Yarrowia lipolytica: one gene and its partners. The protein of the gene in region 1 interacts with the protein of each later gene in a pairwise test. Links are inferred from orthologs where the notes say so. Each region holds a gene or a part of one and is shown on either strand. Other genes may lie near its edges.

The links.
Region 2: the proteins of YALI1_E19483g (region 1) and YALI1_E02203g interact in binary tests that used the Saccharomyces cerevisiae proteins (3 or more experiments, as listed by UniProt). The link is inferred for Yarrowia lipolytica from reciprocal best matches to the Saccharomyces cerevisiae genes UTP5 and UTP15.
Region 3: the proteins of YALI1_E19483g (region 1) and YALI1_F23133g interact in binary tests that used the Saccharomyces cerevisiae proteins (3 or more experiments, as listed by UniProt). The link is inferred for Yarrowia lipolytica from reciprocal best matches to the Saccharomyces cerevisiae genes UTP5 and IMP3.
Region 4: the proteins of YALI1_E19483g (region 1) and YALI1_E37387g interact in binary tests that used the Saccharomyces cerevisiae proteins (3 or more experiments, as listed by UniProt). The link is inferred for Yarrowia lipolytica from reciprocal best matches to the Saccharomyces cerevisiae genes UTP5 and UTP22.

The regions. Positions count from the first base shown.
Region 1 is NC_090774.1:1,945,571-1,950,143, forward strand, and holds YALI1_E19483g (uncharacterized protein), read right to left. Parts: upstream 2,768-4,573; coding exon 542-2,767; downstream 1-541. Other genes in the region: YALI1_E19458g (uncharacterized protein), read right to left, coding at 1-233; YALI1_E19488g (uncharacterized protein), read left to right, coding at 3,240-3,857; YALI1_E19494g (uncharacterized protein), read left to right, coding at 3,854-3,902, 3,989-4,359. UniProt on the Saccharomyces cerevisiae protein: Involved in nucleolar processing of pre-18S ribosomal RNA. Required for optimal pre-ribosomal RNA transcription by RNA polymerase I together with a subset of U3 proteins required for transcription (t-UTPs).
Region 2 is NC_090774.1:218,493-222,453, forward strand, and holds YALI1_E02203g (uncharacterized protein), read left to right. Parts: upstream 1-1,866; coding exon 1,867-3,438; downstream 3,439-3,961. Other genes in the region: YALI1_E02183g (uncharacterized protein), read left to right, coding at 1-1,558; YALI1_E02231g (uncharacterized protein), read right to left, coding at 3,625-3,961. UniProt on the Saccharomyces cerevisiae protein: Involved in nucleolar processing of pre-18S ribosomal RNA. Required for optimal pre-ribosomal RNA transcription by RNA polymerase I together with a subset of U3 proteins required for transcription (t-UTPs).
Region 3 is NC_090775.1:2,311,377-2,314,543, reverse strand, and holds YALI1_F23133g (uncharacterized protein), read right to left. Parts: upstream 1,204-3,167; coding exon 559-1,203; downstream 1-558. Other genes in the region: YALI1_F23157g (uncharacterized protein), read left to right, coding at 1-22; YALI1_F23109g (uncharacterized protein), read right to left, coding at 1,602-3,167. UniProt on the Saccharomyces cerevisiae protein: Required for the early cleavages at sites A0, A1 and A2 during 18S ribosomal pre-RNA processing.
Region 4 is NC_090774.1:3,734,694-3,740,607, forward strand, and holds YALI1_E37387g (uncharacterized protein), read right to left. Parts: upstream 3,999-5,914; coding exon 525-3,998; downstream 1-524. Other genes in the region: YALI1_E37392g (uncharacterized protein), read left to right, coding at 4,536-5,510; YALI1_E37419g (uncharacterized protein), read right to left, coding at 5,870-5,914. UniProt on the Saccharomyces cerevisiae protein: Involved in nucleolar processing of pre-18S ribosomal RNA and ribosome assembly.

The DNA of each region.
Region 1 (4,573 bases):
CGACCGCGAGTCTCATCTCGTACCACCTTGGTGTTCTTTGCACTGAAATCAAAAGTGCTGAGCTGTCTGACGGCCTCATCTTCTTCGGTGATGCTGATGAACGACTCCTCTGCATCCGGAGAGTCCAGAGGAGGGTTGGTGACCACAACGACTTCGGGATCCGAATCCTCCGAGCTGATGACCTGTTTTTTCGTCGGCTTCAGCGCACTCAACGCACTTTTCCGCTTCGTCATGGTGGCTTTGAAAAGATTTCAACTACCCAGTGTTTTTTCTCACATACATGCACATGCATAATAATTTTCGAATAGAGTTTGGGGGGGGGGGAAAGAGGAGCGGATTATACGAATGATATTGGGGGTGATTTTGGGGGCGATTTCGTGTGACAAACATGAAATATCATTGCATTAAACCGCTAACAATGTTGTCATATCCATTGTGTCAAAATTACAACTCCGTCGGATCATTTTTGAGCGTACTACATTGTGTTCTCTAGACCCCTACTTTTCCCAAACCAATGATACAAATCTATAATGCTAGTTATTTACTGCTTGCCTCGCTTCTTGTTGAGCACCTGCTTCATCTCCTCCTCGTCCGAGTCAGGCAGAGCAATCTCGTTCTCGTCCTCGTCCTCTTCGTCACTTTCTTCGTCCTCGTCCTCGTCCTCATCATCCTCACCTTCGTCCCCCTCACCCATCTCGACATCGTCATCATCGCCCATGGCCATGATCTCGGACATGTCGTCTTCCTCATCGTCTTCGTCAATGTCCTCTTCGCCCTCGACAAACTCGACCTCGGAGTCGGACTCCTCGTCGTCGTCGTTGGCGCCGTGGCTGGCGTTTCGCAGTTCCATCTGGGCCTCAAGCATCTCCAGACGGCCCTCCAGAGCCAGCAGACGATCCAGTGTGTTGACTCGGGTATTAAGAGCCTTGTGAAGTCGCGACACAGTCACCAGCAGCTTGGGCACGGTCACCAGGTATCCTCCATGTGCCACCATGACCCACTTGATCCAGGCGTTGAACTGTCGGCCTCTAGAGGGTTGGGCGGTCATCTTGGCAGCCAAACGCTCCAAAAGTAGCACGGCCAGATTACTGTTGAGTCGCTGGACGGTAGACTTGATGCCCTCCTCGTCTCGGAAAAGGAGACACGACTCGAGCAGATCGTCGTCGTCGGACTTGATGGCCTGGGTAAGAACAGTGGATAGAGATCCCATGGTCGGGGGAGCAGTTCCGGAAAGTCCGCTCTTGGTGGTCTTGTTTTCTCGCTTGAGAGCGTCCATCTTTTCGGCCAGAGTGGCAGACTCGTCGTCATCGGACTCGTCGCTTCCTACACCGTTCTCCAGCTGTGAATAGTCGTCTCCAGCAGCAATGATAGCGTCCTCCTCGTTGTAGGACACGGGCACAGTTCGCTCCTCGGTGTAGTGGTTTGCGGCGTTTTTGGGGTCGTGCACCACCGTCATGGTGGGCTCGGTCTCCAGAGCAGCCAGAGTCACGTGTGCAAACTGGGCCTGGGCCCGCTCGGTGTACGAGTAGTAGGCCTCCTTGGCGGTGAGCGCGATGGCGTCGATGACGAGGTTCTGGCCGGCAGCCTTAGTGCCCCGCTCCAGGTCCAGCGATGCAAACGAGGACTTGGTGACAATGCTCTTGCGCTTTCCCTTCTTGCTGTTGGGGGTGGATCCGTTAGTCTGGGCGAGCTGGAAGAACTCGGCGGCTCCTCCCTCTGTCAGGGCGGTGAGAATGTCGCCGTTCATGGAGACACGGTGGGCACCCGACTCGGCCATGAGCACCAGCACAATTTTCTTCTGAGCCACGTTAACCACGTTGATGAGACGGTCGCCAGCAACGGCAGCAACAAGGTCACCTCGAACACACAGCTCGGTGACAGTAGAGGTGTGCGAGGGGATATCAAACAGAGCCGAGTCAAACGAGACGGCCGACGAGTCATCGCCCTGGGGGCCGTAGACGGCGATGTTGTGGGTGGCCAGCAGCACGTTACCCGAGGGCAGAACGGCCACCAGCTTGGCGCCGGTCTTGTCCACAGATCGTTCCACAGAAGAGCCCTTCCACACGTTCAAAAGACCTCGGTTGTCAAGCGAGTAGGTGGTGCCGGAGTTGGCGTCGACGTCAAAGTCGGCCACAGGCAGAGAATGGCCGCCTCGGAGAGCAGACACAAGCTTGGCCTGGGCGGGAGAAAAAGTGAGAATGTCGCCCCGGTTGGTTCCCACAGAAACTAGATATTCCTCGGAAGAAGCAGCCGCCGAGTCCTGGGTCTTGGTCTTCTTGCGTCGAGAAGACGACGAGGCGCCCTCGCCAACGTTCTTGGTCCACTTGAGAGCAGTCACAGTGGTGCCCTTCTCCAACACAAACTCCACGGGCTGGAGACTGGCATTGGCGCCTGAGACCGCCTGGACACGGATCTTGTGCTGGTTAAGCGCACTTGTGACGCTGGCGTACTGCGTGAGAGCGGGATCGAATCGAGACAGCTGTTCCGACATGATGTGTGTGAGTTGTGGTGGAATTATCTGGCTTGCCTGATGGTTGTCCAAGTGCAGGAAAAAATAATTTAAACTCTGAATTTTTTTTCTGCATGAAAATTGACCGAGACTTGTATTGTAACAAGTACATCTGGTGTGGTAGAAGAACAGAGCAGAGAGCGTTGGAGTTGCGGGGAAGCGTGGAAACGGGGAGTTTTGGGGGGTTCCGACTCTTCGGTGTCGACCCGAAACGTGCTCGACACAAAATATCTCCTCGTATTTGCCACTATATGTCATTCTCGATGATCCACCGTAAACGAGGTTACTTTAGCATCACAACGGGGAATCGAACTGGCGCGCTGTCGAACGGTAGAGGAGTTGGCAGGCGGCGTTGGTTCGATTTTGACCTGTGCCCGGAATGGGAAACATTTAGTTGTCGTGTAAATCCTCCAAGACGAGACGGTCGCAACAAACCAACTCAACCATAGTACACCATTGTACAGGAGCTGTACAGTAGCTACACGCCCATAACGATCCCACCAATACCAGATTGACTCATGCACTAGGGTTAGTCACCGACAACACATAATCTGTTTGTCTCCAAATGCTCAACGAAATACCACACTTTGGACCAAACCGGTCCGATAGTCGTGATAAACACCCCCGGTTTACTCACTAGCCGAAAAACTGGACCCCTTGCAAGTATTTGTTGGCGTTTTAACAGCTATGTAACCCCGATGGTCTAAACTGAGCTTGTTCATTGTCACCAATGTTGTGGTTCGGAGTGCAACAGAACAACCCAAAGTCGGTTCTTGTCGCCAACAGCCGGCTGTTCCCTCCTTGGTCTCCCCCCTCCCTCCCCGCCCCCACAAAATTGCTCTGCGACGTCTCATTGAGTCTGAGCTACGTCTCATTGAGTCTGTGCTACGTCTCATCGAGTGTTTGCCATCACGTGACGGGCCCAAAAAAAAAAGGTTTCTCTTTGAGTTCCCGCATTTTAAGCTCATTCTGGAACCTTAAACGGGGTAGTAGTTGGATGATGGATGAGAATGAATTGACTGACAAACTTGTACGTGTTTTGAGGGAACAGGGTTGGTTGCCCAAAGGCACCAAAATCAACAGATTAAGAGTGGGAAATACAATTCTTGGGGCGTGGCTCTGGGGGGGGTATGTAGGATCACGTGACCTGGCTGGATCGGTGGCGCCGTTCTCCCAGTGCGACTTGCACTTTCCTGTAGGGTGGCTATCACTGTTTACGACTCTTGAACTCTATCTTTGGGAGCTCGAAAAATATATAAACATGCATAAAGCATACAAGGCGCGTAAGAGCGACGAGTCCACCACGGCACAACCACACGTTTACCACAACATACACGCAGTGAAATGAGCGACAGAGAAACTTCAGGGAATGACGACCTTTCGTTGCCCAAGGGTGAGTAGAGCCGGAGGGGGGGTTGTGTTTGTGTTTGTGTTTCTGTTTGTGGGGGGTTGAAAGTTGTGGGTCGGTTATTAACCCAGCCACGGTGCAGAAGATAGTGAGCGAAATCATTCCGTCAGACCTGGCGTTTGCCAAGGACACCCGCGACGTGTTGATCGAGTGCTGCATCGAGTTCATCATGATGCTGAGCACCGAAAGCAACGAGATTGCCGAGAAGGAGAGCAAGAAGACGATTGCGCCGGAACATGTCATCAAGGCTCTGCAGGAGCTGGGATTCATAGACTACATTGAGCCCATCAAGGACCTGATTGTGGAGCACAAGGAGGCGCTCAAGTCGCGGGAGAAGAAGGTTGGAAAGCTGGAGCAGTCGGGCATGACCGAGGAGGAGCTGTTGAGAAAGCAGGAGGAAATGTTTGCTGCCGCCAGAAGCAAGCTCAACAACAACGCATAGGGTGGGGGAGGGGGACAATGAGGTGGCGACACCAAACGGTTGGATAATGGGATAATGGGATAAATGGGCTGGTTAGGACAATGTGTGCTACATACAGGATAGTCTACGTGTGGTCGATGTGACGACAGTTGCATCCACGAAACGTACTAATTGATACTGTGGTGTTGGCTCTATGTCAACATCTTTTGGCATGGTGATCTAGAGTAGCGGCCGA
Region 2 (3,961 bases), about 1.7 Mb from region 1:
CAAGCTCAACATTGAAGCCACCTGCGAATACGGCAGTAACTCTCGATGGGAGGAGAGCAAGGATAAGGAGGTCAAGTCGCCGGCCTTTATCACCCAAACAAGCCTTGACTTTCTCTCAAATGCCTCCTCTGTCTCGGAGATCATCCACCTGTTTGAAAAACACCTGCCGATCCAAACAGCGCCAAACAACAATCCCCTCAGCATCTTTTCCTACAAAACAGAAGAGTACGAGAGCGCCATTGCCAACGAGCCGCTCCCGAAGAACATAAGCGACATTCTGATCGAGAACTATAGGAATTTGGTGGACCCCTTCTTCCCCATTATTGACTGGAAGGAGTTCGAAGAACATTATGAAAACCTATACCCCGGGCAGGCTGGTCCTACACCGCCATCACCGCCACAACCACCGTCCTTCCTGGCTCTGATATACACAGTCTACGCCCTGAGTTGCAAGTCCTGCGCTTTCGACTCGCTGCTACATACCTTGCATGCTTCAGCCGTCATCCACTTTTCTGATCGCGCCGAGCAATACCTCAACAGAATACCCTTGTTAGTGACCTCGTCGATCGACGACTTCCGAGCAGCACTGCTCTACATTTACAGTTCATTCTCTGGCGACTGTCTTATGGTGGGATGGTCTCTGTGTGGTCTGTTGGTAACAATGAGCCAACGGATTCTGCCTCCCTTTACAGCCTCCAGCGACGTGAAGGAAGCTGCAAACCACCTCATTTCGGTTTCTGGCACTTTTTTCGACGCCTGCCAAGCATTTGTAGGCCACAAATCTGGGTTAGAATACCCCCAATTGCCTTTCAGCTCATACCCGTTTCTACACACTACCCAGAAGCTCTACATGTTCACCCGTGGACTGCAGAACAGCCATGATTCTTCAGATCCTGCTGAACTCCTGCGAATCGACCAGATAATCAATACTCTTCCCCAGGGAGATCCTATGGAGTTCATGAAGAAACTGGCACTGACAACACAATGGCACAAGGCCAATCTTTTGCTTTTCCGATGTGGCAAGATCGACCGACTCTCTGGACTCATGTCACTTCTGAAGCTACTGGAGAACCAATTCTATCTCTACTCTGCTCCTCCACAGATCCAACAATACATTCTGTTTCACTGGAACAACATTTACTACCATGTGTTCACGGGAGTGATTGTTTTGGCTCTAGAACTGGAGGCAACTGATCCTCTGCCTCCGCTGGATCCATCTGTATTCCCCAACCTCTCCAAGCTCAACCTGGAAGAGGACAAGAACTGGAAGTCCACTCTGTTGGCTGTCTTGCGTGATCAGTACTTTGATCTCAGAGTCAATTCTGAGTGTGCTAGTGCACGTGCTCACATGATAACTTCGGCATTTCTGGCCCAAGACACACATATGGAGTGTCCACGACCGTTTGGACCTTTCCATAAGATGCTGTGCCTGCCATCAGGATTTTACATCTGTCGGTTTGACCGGTCGTACTTTCAGTGTGGCTACGGAATGGAGCTGGACCGTCAGATTGGTCGTGCGTTATACGACTCCAAGGAGAGTTCCAAGGTGTTTCTATAGCTTCTTCCCAGAGATGAGAAGACATCTGTATTTATTGCATTTTTCAATGCCAGTGTCTGAACTGTAGTTCAAGTAAGTTACTAAGTAATACTAAGTAATACGCGAAGATAAACGCATGCAAAACCTACAACAAGCAGGCCATTAGCCATCACGAAAGATTATAAGAAGCTGTTTGCCTTTCAATATCAACCTCCCCCCAGTTAATCCCACTTAGTGACAACCCCTTTCACCATAACATAAAGCTACTTGTAGTTATGTTCGACAGTGGATATCTCCAAATCCACCTCCGCAAATAAAGTTCAAGGTGCATGCACAACAGAAAAAATTGGAAACCATCTGCAAGATTTCAATATCACCACCACCACACAAGCAAATCAACAATGTCCGCCCCCTTGAACCGGTTGACGATTGCTAAGGAGGTCAAAAAGGGCTCCGACTTGACGCCCGAGCAAAAATTCTGGAAAACCTACCGTTCGCCTCTGCTCGTCAAAGAGTACAATGCCATCTCTCACGTTTCCTTCAACCATCACAATGACTTTGCCGTCACCTCGTCTACTCGAATCCAGATCTTCTCTGGAAAGACCCGAAAAGTCACCAAGACTATCTCTCGTTTCAAGGATACTGTATACTGCGGCGAGTTCCGGTCTGATGGTAAGCTGATTGTGGCCGGTGATGCTACAGGTCTGGTTCAGATCTTCGATGCCGTGTCGAGAAACATTCTGGTGACTCTGCAGGCGTCCCAACTGGCCACTCATGTGACTAAGTTCCACCCCACAAACCTCACCACTCTCCTCACAGCCTCCGACGACCGAAGCGTCAAGCTCTACGATATCACCAGCTCCACTCCTCTGATCGAGTTTGAGGGCGCTCAGGATTACGTTCGATGTGGAGAGTTTGTCGATGCCAACGTTGTCGCTGCTGGTTCGTACGACGGAACTGTTCGACTCTACGACGCCCGATCCGGAAAGACCCCCATCTCTTCTCTGGCTCAGGATCACCCGGTTGAGGATGTCCTCTACCACAACGGAATGGTGTTGTCTGCCGGAGGTCCCATTGTCAAGGCCTGGGACATGACCACCGGAAAGACCATCCGACAAATGGGCAACTTCAGCAAGACCGTTACTTGCCTGGCCCCTACTCACGGTGCTTCTGGATTCTTCGCTGGCTCCCTAGACGGCCATGTCAAGGTCTTTGATGATACCTCATTCAAGGTTACCTACGGCTGGAAGTACGGCTCCGGAGTGCTCTGTACTGGTATGTCTCTAGACTCCCAGCATATTGTGGCCGGTCTGGTTTCCGGTATTGTCGCTGTTCGAACCCAGCAGCCCAAGAAGGACGAGAAGATCAGCAACGGACGGGTTCTGGACCAGAAGGCTGCTGTTGAGGAGGAGAAGAAGAAGAAGGCAGAGGGACCCGTGCTTGGAGGAACCAAGTACGAGGGTCAGTTTGAGCATGTCATTGTCGAGGAGCACGAGCGGCCCAACAAGAAGCTGCTGAAGCGATATGAAAACCTGCTTCTCGGATTCCGATGGGGTGATGCTCTCGATGCTGCACTGTCTGGAGAGCATCTGGAGACCTCTGTTCTGGCTCTGGAAGAGCTCAAGAAGCGAGGTAAGGTGCGAGCTGCACTGCTGAACCGAGATGAGGACTCTCTGGAGCCTCTCTTTGAGTTCGCTACCAAGGCCATTGCTGACTCGCGATACATCAACATTGTTGCTGACTACGTTGCAGTCGTGCTGGACATGTACACTAGTGTGATTACCAAGAGCCCGATACTCGAAGAGCGGGTGTCTGAGTTCTACGACGCTCTCAAGTCCGAGGTCGAGACTGCTAAGGAGAGCAAGAAGATCCAGGGTATGTTGGAGCTCCTCAGTGTTTAGAGAGAGCAAAAGGATGGATGCATTTGTTGAATAGATATTAGATAATGATTGGGAAAATGGTACTTGTAGTTATATCGCTGCTTGTAGACTAGTATGTAAGTAGTTGTACATGGCAGCTAGTCAAAAAACACTGTATATGTTATATCTCTAAATGCGTTCGTATGCTTATGTTAAATGCTAGGGCGATCACTTCTTAAACCTCGAGGCCCACTGCTTCTGTCCCATATTGACCTTGAATCCCGTGTTGAGTCTGTTGGTGGTGGAGAAGTTGTCGTTATCCACCTTGGCCTTCTTGTGCTGTTCAGACTCGACTCGCACAATAGCCTTTTTAGTGGTTCGCTTCTGCGTCTGATGCTTGCGTTTCTTGATACCACCTTCTTTGTAGATAGGAGCACTGAGAGCAGTCTCTCCTTCAAGAGCAGTTTCATGAACCCAATCTAAATCGTCCTGCACAGGTTCATCATAAGGATTATGGACCTCCACAGTTCCCATGATCTCGTCCAGCTCATCAGGTTCCTCCCCG
Region 3 (3,167 bases), on another chromosome or scaffold:
GTCCCAGGCTGCTTCGGCTTAGTCTGAAAATAATTAGCATACGGTATAATAGAGTCACCACAGGGACCCGACAGTAGTTAGTGGTATAAAGTGATCACTTGATTGTCATCACTTCGATTTAAGTGGTTTGGTTGTGGCTACAATGCTAGCCTATAGGTCCAGTGCCTCACTTGTAATCTGAGAGACAGAACCAAGGAGATGCAGAGTCTTGTGCTTCTACCATATCGTATAGTAGTACGACTTCAAGTACCAGCGGCGTGTATCTTTTGTAGGCTTTCTTGTAAATATGAATCTACAACGGTAGTACTTGTATCGTAACTGACATACTCGCCCAGACAATACCAACAACCGAGAGATCAGACAAGAGCACAGTGATTAAGGAGACGACGCTCAAAATCTGAAGTCATTTAGTTGAACATATAGCAATGAATGTCTTCGTTTCACCTGATAGTGTTCTTATCGACTTGACAATAATAAAAAAGCGGACTATCCCCTACTTCTCCAAGTTCTCTACACGCCTTCTCATTCCGTCTAATAGTAGCATGCATAAATAAAAACTTACATAGTGTTGAAGTCGTCGAGCTCGTTTCGGTACTTGAGAGTGGCCTTCTTGATCTTGGATCGGTCGGTCCAGGTGACAAAGTCCTCCATGTTTCGGGTCACCAGAAACGCAGGGTCGGTGACAATGTGAGGACCCACTCTCACGTGACCCTGCTCGATCATGGCAGTTCCAGCGTCCAGTTTTTGGGTCATCTTGAGTTTGTGCATGATGACGGGGAGTCGTCGCTTGGCGATAGCAGACACAGATATCTTGGTCTCCAGATGCGAAACGGTGGTGTTAGTGGAAAGAATGCCCATCTGGTAGAGTTTGTCGAGAAGCAGCTTTTCGTGCTTGATTCGAACAGGGTCGTCCGGTTGGAGCTGAGATAGCTTGTATGCTAATTGTCGGATCTTACCGCAGATTTTGTTGTACTTGTTGTAGTCGTCTCGGTCCTGCAGATGGAAGGTGCCCATCACCTGCTGTTCACGGTGGCCATTATCTGTCTTCCAGTTGACAAAGTCGACCTTCTTGAGCAGCTTGCCCTCGTGGTGCTTGAACTGTCGTACCATTTTGTCAAAGGTGTTGTGAAGAAGTGGTGATATCTTTCCCTGCACCGTGAAGAATAATTTGGGATTTTTTTGATATAGAGTTTTGCCATGCATAGAAGCGAGTATCAAGGAAAATGCTTAGATGGGTATTTGGTGTGACTACCACCGAGACTACTTGTAGTATTGTTTGTGTTGGTTTTTGGTTTGATTTTTTATTTTTTTTAGTTATTTTTATTTATTTATTTTCCAACTATTAAATATGCCATACCTTGGTAACTTGTTAATACTTCCTTTTCGATCTCCTTCTATTTCATTTGGAAATTCTCAACATTTCTGATCTATGGATTGATCTTTCCAAAAAAAATATATATGTATATATCAAAGCATCCCTCTCTATCGTATGCACTTGTACGCGAGTGGCAAACAACTCTTTACTTGTAGTAAAACAGTATCCTCAACTTATCCTATCATACCTCTATTACCAAATATATCTTTATACAACGTGTTTTCGCTTAAAGCAGGTCAACAATGAGCTTGGAACCCTTGTTTCCATCCTCGGCAGCAGCAGCAATCTCCTTCTTACTGTCCTTGAGAGTCTTTTTGAGCTCCTTCTTCAGCTTATCGTCCTCCAGGTTCTCCAACAGAGTCACAATGACAAAAGCACCGTCTCCAGTGGCCCATGCGACAACGTGATCCCCAATTGCATCGTAGAACTTGGCACCGAAGTCGATGGGAGTCTCGACCTTGACTACCTTCTTCTCCTTGTTGTTCCAATGTCCCTGTTGAATGAGGGTTCGCAGAGCTCGCTGAGCGTTGGGCTGCTTGATGACGTGGTTGTCACCGGCGGGATCGGCAGACAGAACCTCCATAAGAGCAGCGATAGCCTCAGACTTGTCACCGTCACACGACAGAAGAGCCTCAGAAATGAACTGAGAACCCAGGGTGTCGTTCATGAGCTCGTAAGCGTTGTTGGCAATGGCCTCGAGAATCAGAGGGGACATTCCCTTGTTGATCTCCTCCAGTCGAAGAGCATCATCCTTCTTGGCAGTACCAGTTGCGGTCTTCATCTCATCGTACTGCTTGAGCTGATCCAGAACCAGCTTGTTGAAGTATCGAGAGTCTCGGCCTAGCATGGCATACAGGAAGGGTCGTCGACCGTTCTTGTCCATGAACAGCTCATGCACGGGCTTCTCGGAGAGCTCACCAGAAAAGGCCTTAACAACACTCTTGGTATCGTCAATGGTGTCAAAAGCAGTCATCATGACCATGTGTCCGTACTGATCAGCAGCCAGGGTGTCGGCAAAGCTCTTGAGCGACTTGAGAAGACCCTTCTTCTCCTTGGCAGAAGCCATGGCCAGAGTCTTGCAAGCCACCTGCGATCCCTCGTTAGTATGCACCATCTCTGCAAACTGCTCGCCAATCAGATCGATGAATTCGGTCTTCTCCGAGTTGTTGGTGTCAAGGTTGCTGACGTACTCAAGCATGGCAGCATGAATGACGGTGAAACCAATGGAACCCTTGTTGACAGCAGCAGTGATAGTTTCGTTCAGGTTTCGCATGATGATGGGTCGCTTCTCGGGGGCGTCCTCGATAATATCCTTAAGGGTCTTTGTGCCAGCAGCGTCTCGGAAAACGGCAAACTCGGCACCGAAAAACTCTTGGATGATTTGTCGCTTCTGAGCAGCAGTGCTGTAGTCTCTGTAGGCATCCTCCAGCACATAGGCACCCTCCTTATGACGCATGAGCTTTCGGAACCGGCCGTGCAGCTCGTCAATAATAGATTGTCGAACGGCAGCAGATCCGTAATGCAGCATCTTGACCAGCAGGTACTTTCCGTAAGACGAGATGGCCAGGTCGTAGTAGTTGCCCTTCAGCGCCTTTGTGATGATCTCTCGCTTCTCCTTGTCAGCGTACTTGAACAGAGTCTGGATAATTCGCGATGCGTCGTGCTTGAGAATCAAGTTCTTGATATCGTTCTTGGAAATGGCCCAGATATCCTCCACCAGCTGCTTTCGCTCAGCAGGCTTGACACCAGTCTTCATTCGGAGCCGCTCCCAAATCTGCTTGATCTGAGCGAT
Region 4 (5,914 bases), about 1.8 Mb from region 1:
ACTCTAGACCGATTCCGCATCAAGAATTGGTAAGGGTATAGATTCATCTACAGCAGCTGATCCCATATGGCTATCAGATAAAATCGGTACCAGTCTATGTAAGGCTGCCCGTTAGAGCTGTTACAAGATGATGTTATGTTGAACTACATACACACTGGACGGTCTGTGAGTACAATGGAAGGTGCAAGTTCTCAATTACATTCTCCGAGTTTGAAATACAACATATTTCTTGTTTTCTGGTCCATATCGCTCGTGCAGACGCAAAGCAATGGTTCAACGGTTAGCCAGCTAATGCAGGCTGTCCACTGACGCACTCATACTTATTGTAAAGTATCAGTACGCTGGTATGCACTTGTGCAGTAGCTAGTGGGTGTGTACACTCTGCTAGTTCGGGTATGTTGGCCTGTAGTTCTTCCAAAGTCGGTTCAAATACGTACTGCGGTGTAATATATCACTCCATCTAGACTCCACCATCTTCTTCTAATCTAATCAATGCATCTATTATTAAATCCTCCACGAAGCCGCTATTTAACATCCACCTTATTAATCAAGTCTCCTCCGATTCGCTTGATCTCGCTAATAATACCCTCCTGGTCAAGAGTCACCTTGGAGCCATCGGGAACGGTGGCGTACTCCAAGTTGACACGGAACTTCCGGGGCTCCTTGGCCTCAGGGAGCCACATTCCGGCAATAACTCCAGAATCCATGGCCAGAACGTCCGAGAAGAAGAGACAGGCTCCAGCATAGGTGTTGGAGATTTCATCGTAGAACCGACGCGCCTCGTTGCAAGAGTTGGCAACCACTCCGTCGTCATTAGGGAAGGTTCCCTTGACAATGGCCTGCAGATTCTTATACTTCGAGGTCTTCTTGGGCACCTGGTCCTTTCGCAGCTTGATGGTAAAGTCGTAGGGAGCCAGAGAGGTGCTGAAGAGCGACTCAAACTGCCCGTCGGTATCGATTACCTGCTTGGCAGCCTTGGCCAGCGCTGTGAGACGACCAGAAAGCATGATTCCGGCCCCCTCGTGCTTGGGAGCAGACCACAGAGCTCCGTCCTCGACCTTGGTTCGGGTGGTGGCCACAAATAAAGGCACTCGAAGAGCAGGGTCCAGGTGACGATGTTTGGCGAAGGCAGCGGTCATCTGCGCATGCACAGCAGAGTCGGTGGTGGTTCCAGTCACGTCCGAAAGATTTTCCTGCACAGCCAGTTCTCGGGAAGGATCGGGATGCACCTCCACATCGAGCAGTAGAGGGTTCTCCTTCCAGTTCCAACGCGCCAGGAACGCAATGACTCGGTTGAAGGCACACGAGATGCTCTGAGGAGGCACGTAGGGTGCCGAAGACACGAAGGGCTGCAGAGCAATGAGCTCCCACAGCTCCTGGGGGAAGGCGGCAGTCATAAAGTGGGCGTCCAGCCAGGCCTTTACCAGTCGCACGGTGGCTCCGTACAGAGGATATCGGGTGGTCATGGTGGTTATGAGCCGGGTGTGGTTAGGGGCGTCATTGAACTGTCGGAAGGCGAGGTGTCGAAGAGCAGCGTTGGCGTTATCTTTGACGAAATGTTTGACCAGCAGTTCGTCAGTCTCGGTGATAATGTGCAGTCTGAATCCGAATCCCTCCGGCGTCAGAACAAGAGCAAACGCTTGCTTGTCGTTGAAACCAACAATGACTCGATATCCCTGGTCTGCCAGCTTCTTTCGCATATCCAGCAAAAAGGCCAGCTTGGTCTTCTCCATAGCCTCAATCTCTTCGGGCCATCGAGACGAGCTCTCAAACTGGACAATTGCGTCGCAGAAAAAGTCGCCGTTGAGCTCGAAGGGCAGAGCAGGCGACACATCGGTCGACCGAAGAGCCGAAGAGGCGGGAAGAATGTTCTTGACCACCAGAGGCAGCTCGATTCGATTGACGGCAGCAGTGAGATTGACAAGAGCCTCGGAGATGAGCTTGGAATGGGCGTCGGTCACCTCCGTGATCATGGTCTGGTAGTTGTCGGAAGACAGGTACAGATCAGCCAGACACGAGGGAGACACATGGTTCTCCAGCACAAACCGAATGATCTGAGAAGTCACGAGTCCTCGACCGTTCCACACGGTGGTCTCCTTAATAGAGCCGTCAGCGAACCGTCGAAGCTCGGCCTTGTCGCCCCAGAAATCTCGGAAAGCTTCACAGGCCTCGGCATCGTCGTTGGCGGGTCCATGAGTGACAGTTCTGTTGCAGTCGGCAGTGAAAAGCAATCCCACAGACACCTCGCCAGTGGTGGAGGTCTCGAACTTGGCATCAATGTCCCAGGCTTGGCCAGTCTCCATGGAGACAGACACACAGGCGACTCGGTCATCCAGACCCTGTTTCAGAACAGCGTAGACATTGTTGGCGAAGAAGTTGCCAAATGACGAGAACTGCACTTTTTTGGATCCAGTGAAAGGATGGCCCTCAATCTCAGTCACGGGGACACGCACAACCTCGTCGAAATACAGCTTGGGCTCGGCAATGTATCGCAGGAACAGGAGTCCAAATCGGTCCACCGTAGTGTCGCTCAGGAGATCAAAGGAAACTCGAGACTCGTGCTTGATGAGATCATATGCCCAGGGCTGGACCTTGGCGATGATGTTCAGACCAGTATCAGAGTCCAGAACACAGGGCAGTCTGGTATCATTGTCTTCAAAGTGAGCGTCGTTGCTGAGCTCAAGGGCTGAAGAGTAAGTCCAGGTCTGCCGGGTCAGATCCTCAATGGCCAGGAACCGTACCACTCCCTTAAACAGCTGGTATGATGAGTATCCGGCATGCAGCTGCTGCTTGGATCTCAGCAGAGCAGCCATGAGCATTCCAAACTCCATGGCTCCAAAACCTCCCTGGCCCACAGCTCCAGAGAAGCCTCTCTGCCTGAGCCACAGGCTTCCCAGACGCCAGGCAGCCACAAAGGCAGGCACGATCTTGGCGGTCTTCTTCAGGAAGCCGAGGTATCGGGTTGTGGTCATGTCTGCAAGGATAGCAGAGTTGTAAAGGGGGGTGGGGGGTTCTTCTCCGTCCTTGGATCGCAGACAATTTCGGCCAGGGGCCAGTTTCTTGGTGTCAAAGACATCCTCTTCGATGACGGGAAGAATTCGAATGTAGAAGGGCGACTTAGGGCCGAAATCGGTATCGCTTTTGTTGATTCCTCGAAGCACAACCACAGGCCGAATATCGTCATCCAGAGTCTCGTAAGACACGCTGCAGTCGAGCTCCTTTTTCAGAGCAGCAGCCAGAACAGTCAGATAAAAGGCCCTTTTGTGAAGGTACCGGTTGTTGAGGAAGTCCTTTTCCTGAAACAATTCTCGAGGCATAGTGACGGAAACATCCACAGCCACACGCTCCTTTCCAGGCAGTCGGTTGACACTACCCAGAGCAAAAGATCCCACCACATTCACATCTGAAGGCTTGGCAAAAGCAAATTTGTACTGAGTCTTGTCACTGGGTCGGTTCCAGGGGATCTCCACCTGCTGGGAAGAAGCCCACTTGCTAGCTCTGGACACATCGAAGGGACCAGCCTTGGGGATCTCGGCGATGATCGAATGGACCCGATGGAGCATTTTGCCAATTCGCTTGGTGTGTTTCTCATCCACGTCCAGCTCCTTTAGCAGCTCGTCAATCTGCATCTTGAAGATGTTACTCTTGAAGAGTTCAGCAGCCTCCTTTGCAGCCTTGATTTCCGCTGCAGAAAGCTGCAATTTGGCCTTCTTTTTCGACACTCGGCCTGGTTTCTCCTCGTGTTCATTGTCCGAGATCTCCTCCTCCTTGTCCGAGAACTTGTCTTCGTCTGAGTCGTCATCAGCCCCGGAATCGTCTTCGGAATCGTCCTCTGAGTCGTCGTCTTCGCTCTCCAGGTCGGCGAGAGAGGTGATTTCGGGCTTGGCCTCGGATTTCACCTTTTTACTCTGGCTCTCATGCTGAGAAGCCTTGGATAGAGGTCGCTTGACTCCCATGATTGTGTTGTGTAGTATGCGTTTGAAAATAATCCATATCATGCATGAAATAATTTTTATAAGGTTCGGGTTAGGGAGTAAGCCCAAGACTTGAAACGTGACGGGCTGAGATTGATCTTGCAATGGAGAGGCAACGAAGCGACGAGACGGAATTTCTTTGGGGCTCTTGGTGTGCTTAGTCAGTATACTGGTCTCATTTTCTCACTTTTCATACACACACACACACACACACACACACACACACACACAAGAAAAGACACTGACACGTCTCGAACTGGGGATGTCCCCATACAGAGTTTAAACAATTCTTTCCACTAAATAGTTCCATACTTAGTCCACACAGTTGAAGACATGGAACTCTATTTGTGGGTCCCCTCATATCACTCAAGGAGACATTTAGGAGACAGTTAAAAGTGTTCCATACAAGTAATAGCTATCAATGTATATATTTGTCTCTGTTTTATCCCGTCTGTATTTCCCCCTCTTCACCCCACCTCTTGTTACTACAACCACCATCGTTTGCCACCCCAGTTTAACTTCAGCCCACATCACATCAATCAACCCACATAGAGTCAAGACATGACACCAAAACCTCCTCCAACAAAACACAACTCAGCACAACACACCACCACAACCATGAAGCTACATACAGTCACGTCTCTGGGGGAGTTTGACAAGGTGCTCAAGTCCGAGCTAGTCATTGTCGATTTCTTCGCAGAATGGTGCGGACCCTGCAAGGTGATTTCACCCTTTGTCGAGACCCTCCAGTCCGACTACAACCAGGTGCTATTTGCAAAGGTCGACGTGGATCAGGGCAAGGACATTGCTGCCAAGTACACCGTGTCTTCCATGCCCACTTTTGTGTACTTCCACAAGGGCAAGGAGGTCAATCGGGTCGTTGGAGCTGACAGAGCCGGAATTACTACTGGTCTGGATCAGTTGGTTTCCCTGAACCCTGCAGCCGTCAAGTCCCTTCCTGGAGCAGGAGGCGCCGACTCTGAGGATGCTGGCTCCACTGTCAACTCGACTGACAACTCTGCCATCGCAGCTTTTGTGCCCAAGAACATGGAGATTCTCAACTCTGGTATTGACTTCACCTCGACCGAGGCTCTCAACATTGCAAACAACGGCGACGTGCGAAACGTGCTGACCAACGGGCTGTCGGGCGATCAGGAGTTTGTCTCCGATACAGACTCGCAGATGCTGCTCAACGTGCAGCTGCAGAACAACGCCAAGATCCAGACGATTCTGCTCAAGAAGCCCGCCGTCAGTGGTGACAACCAGATCCCCTCGCATATCAAGGTGTGGGCCAACCATCCCAACCTGTCGTTCGACGACACCCAGTCGATCGAGGCCCAGCATGTCGGAGATGTGGTTTTTGATGGTGAGTGGGCCGAGATCAAGCTCAGATACGTGCGGTTCCAGAACGTGTCGACCATCTCCATGCTCATTGAGGGAGAGGACGAGGACGAGTGCACTAATTTGGATAGAGTGGTGCTCATTGGATCAAGCGGCGAGGCTCGAAGCGGAAAGCTCGAGAAGATGCAGGATTAGGCGGCATGGTGAATGGGTTTGAACCAGTTAATGTATATCGAGTATGTGCGACCCAAGCACATTGGTTAATGACATCGTAGATGTATCGTAGATGATTGTATGGTGTTGGTGTAGCTAGTATATACTATAGATGTTGAAACTGTACAGAGCCATGAGACAGTTATGACATATCGAAGCATGTCTGGAAAGCAAAGTAGAGAACTATTAACGAGTAGCTGAATCTCAATTGAATCATCGACTGGTAGCATTATACAATACAAGTACCAACTACTTAGACTGAAATCTTTAATCATCTCACTCTCTCCTCTAATAAATACTATATACAATATTCTGTTGTCCTTTGACAAGTTTTCACCCCTCTACTCCCAAGTAAACCTCTCCCCTGAGGAAACGCCTTCCAGTTC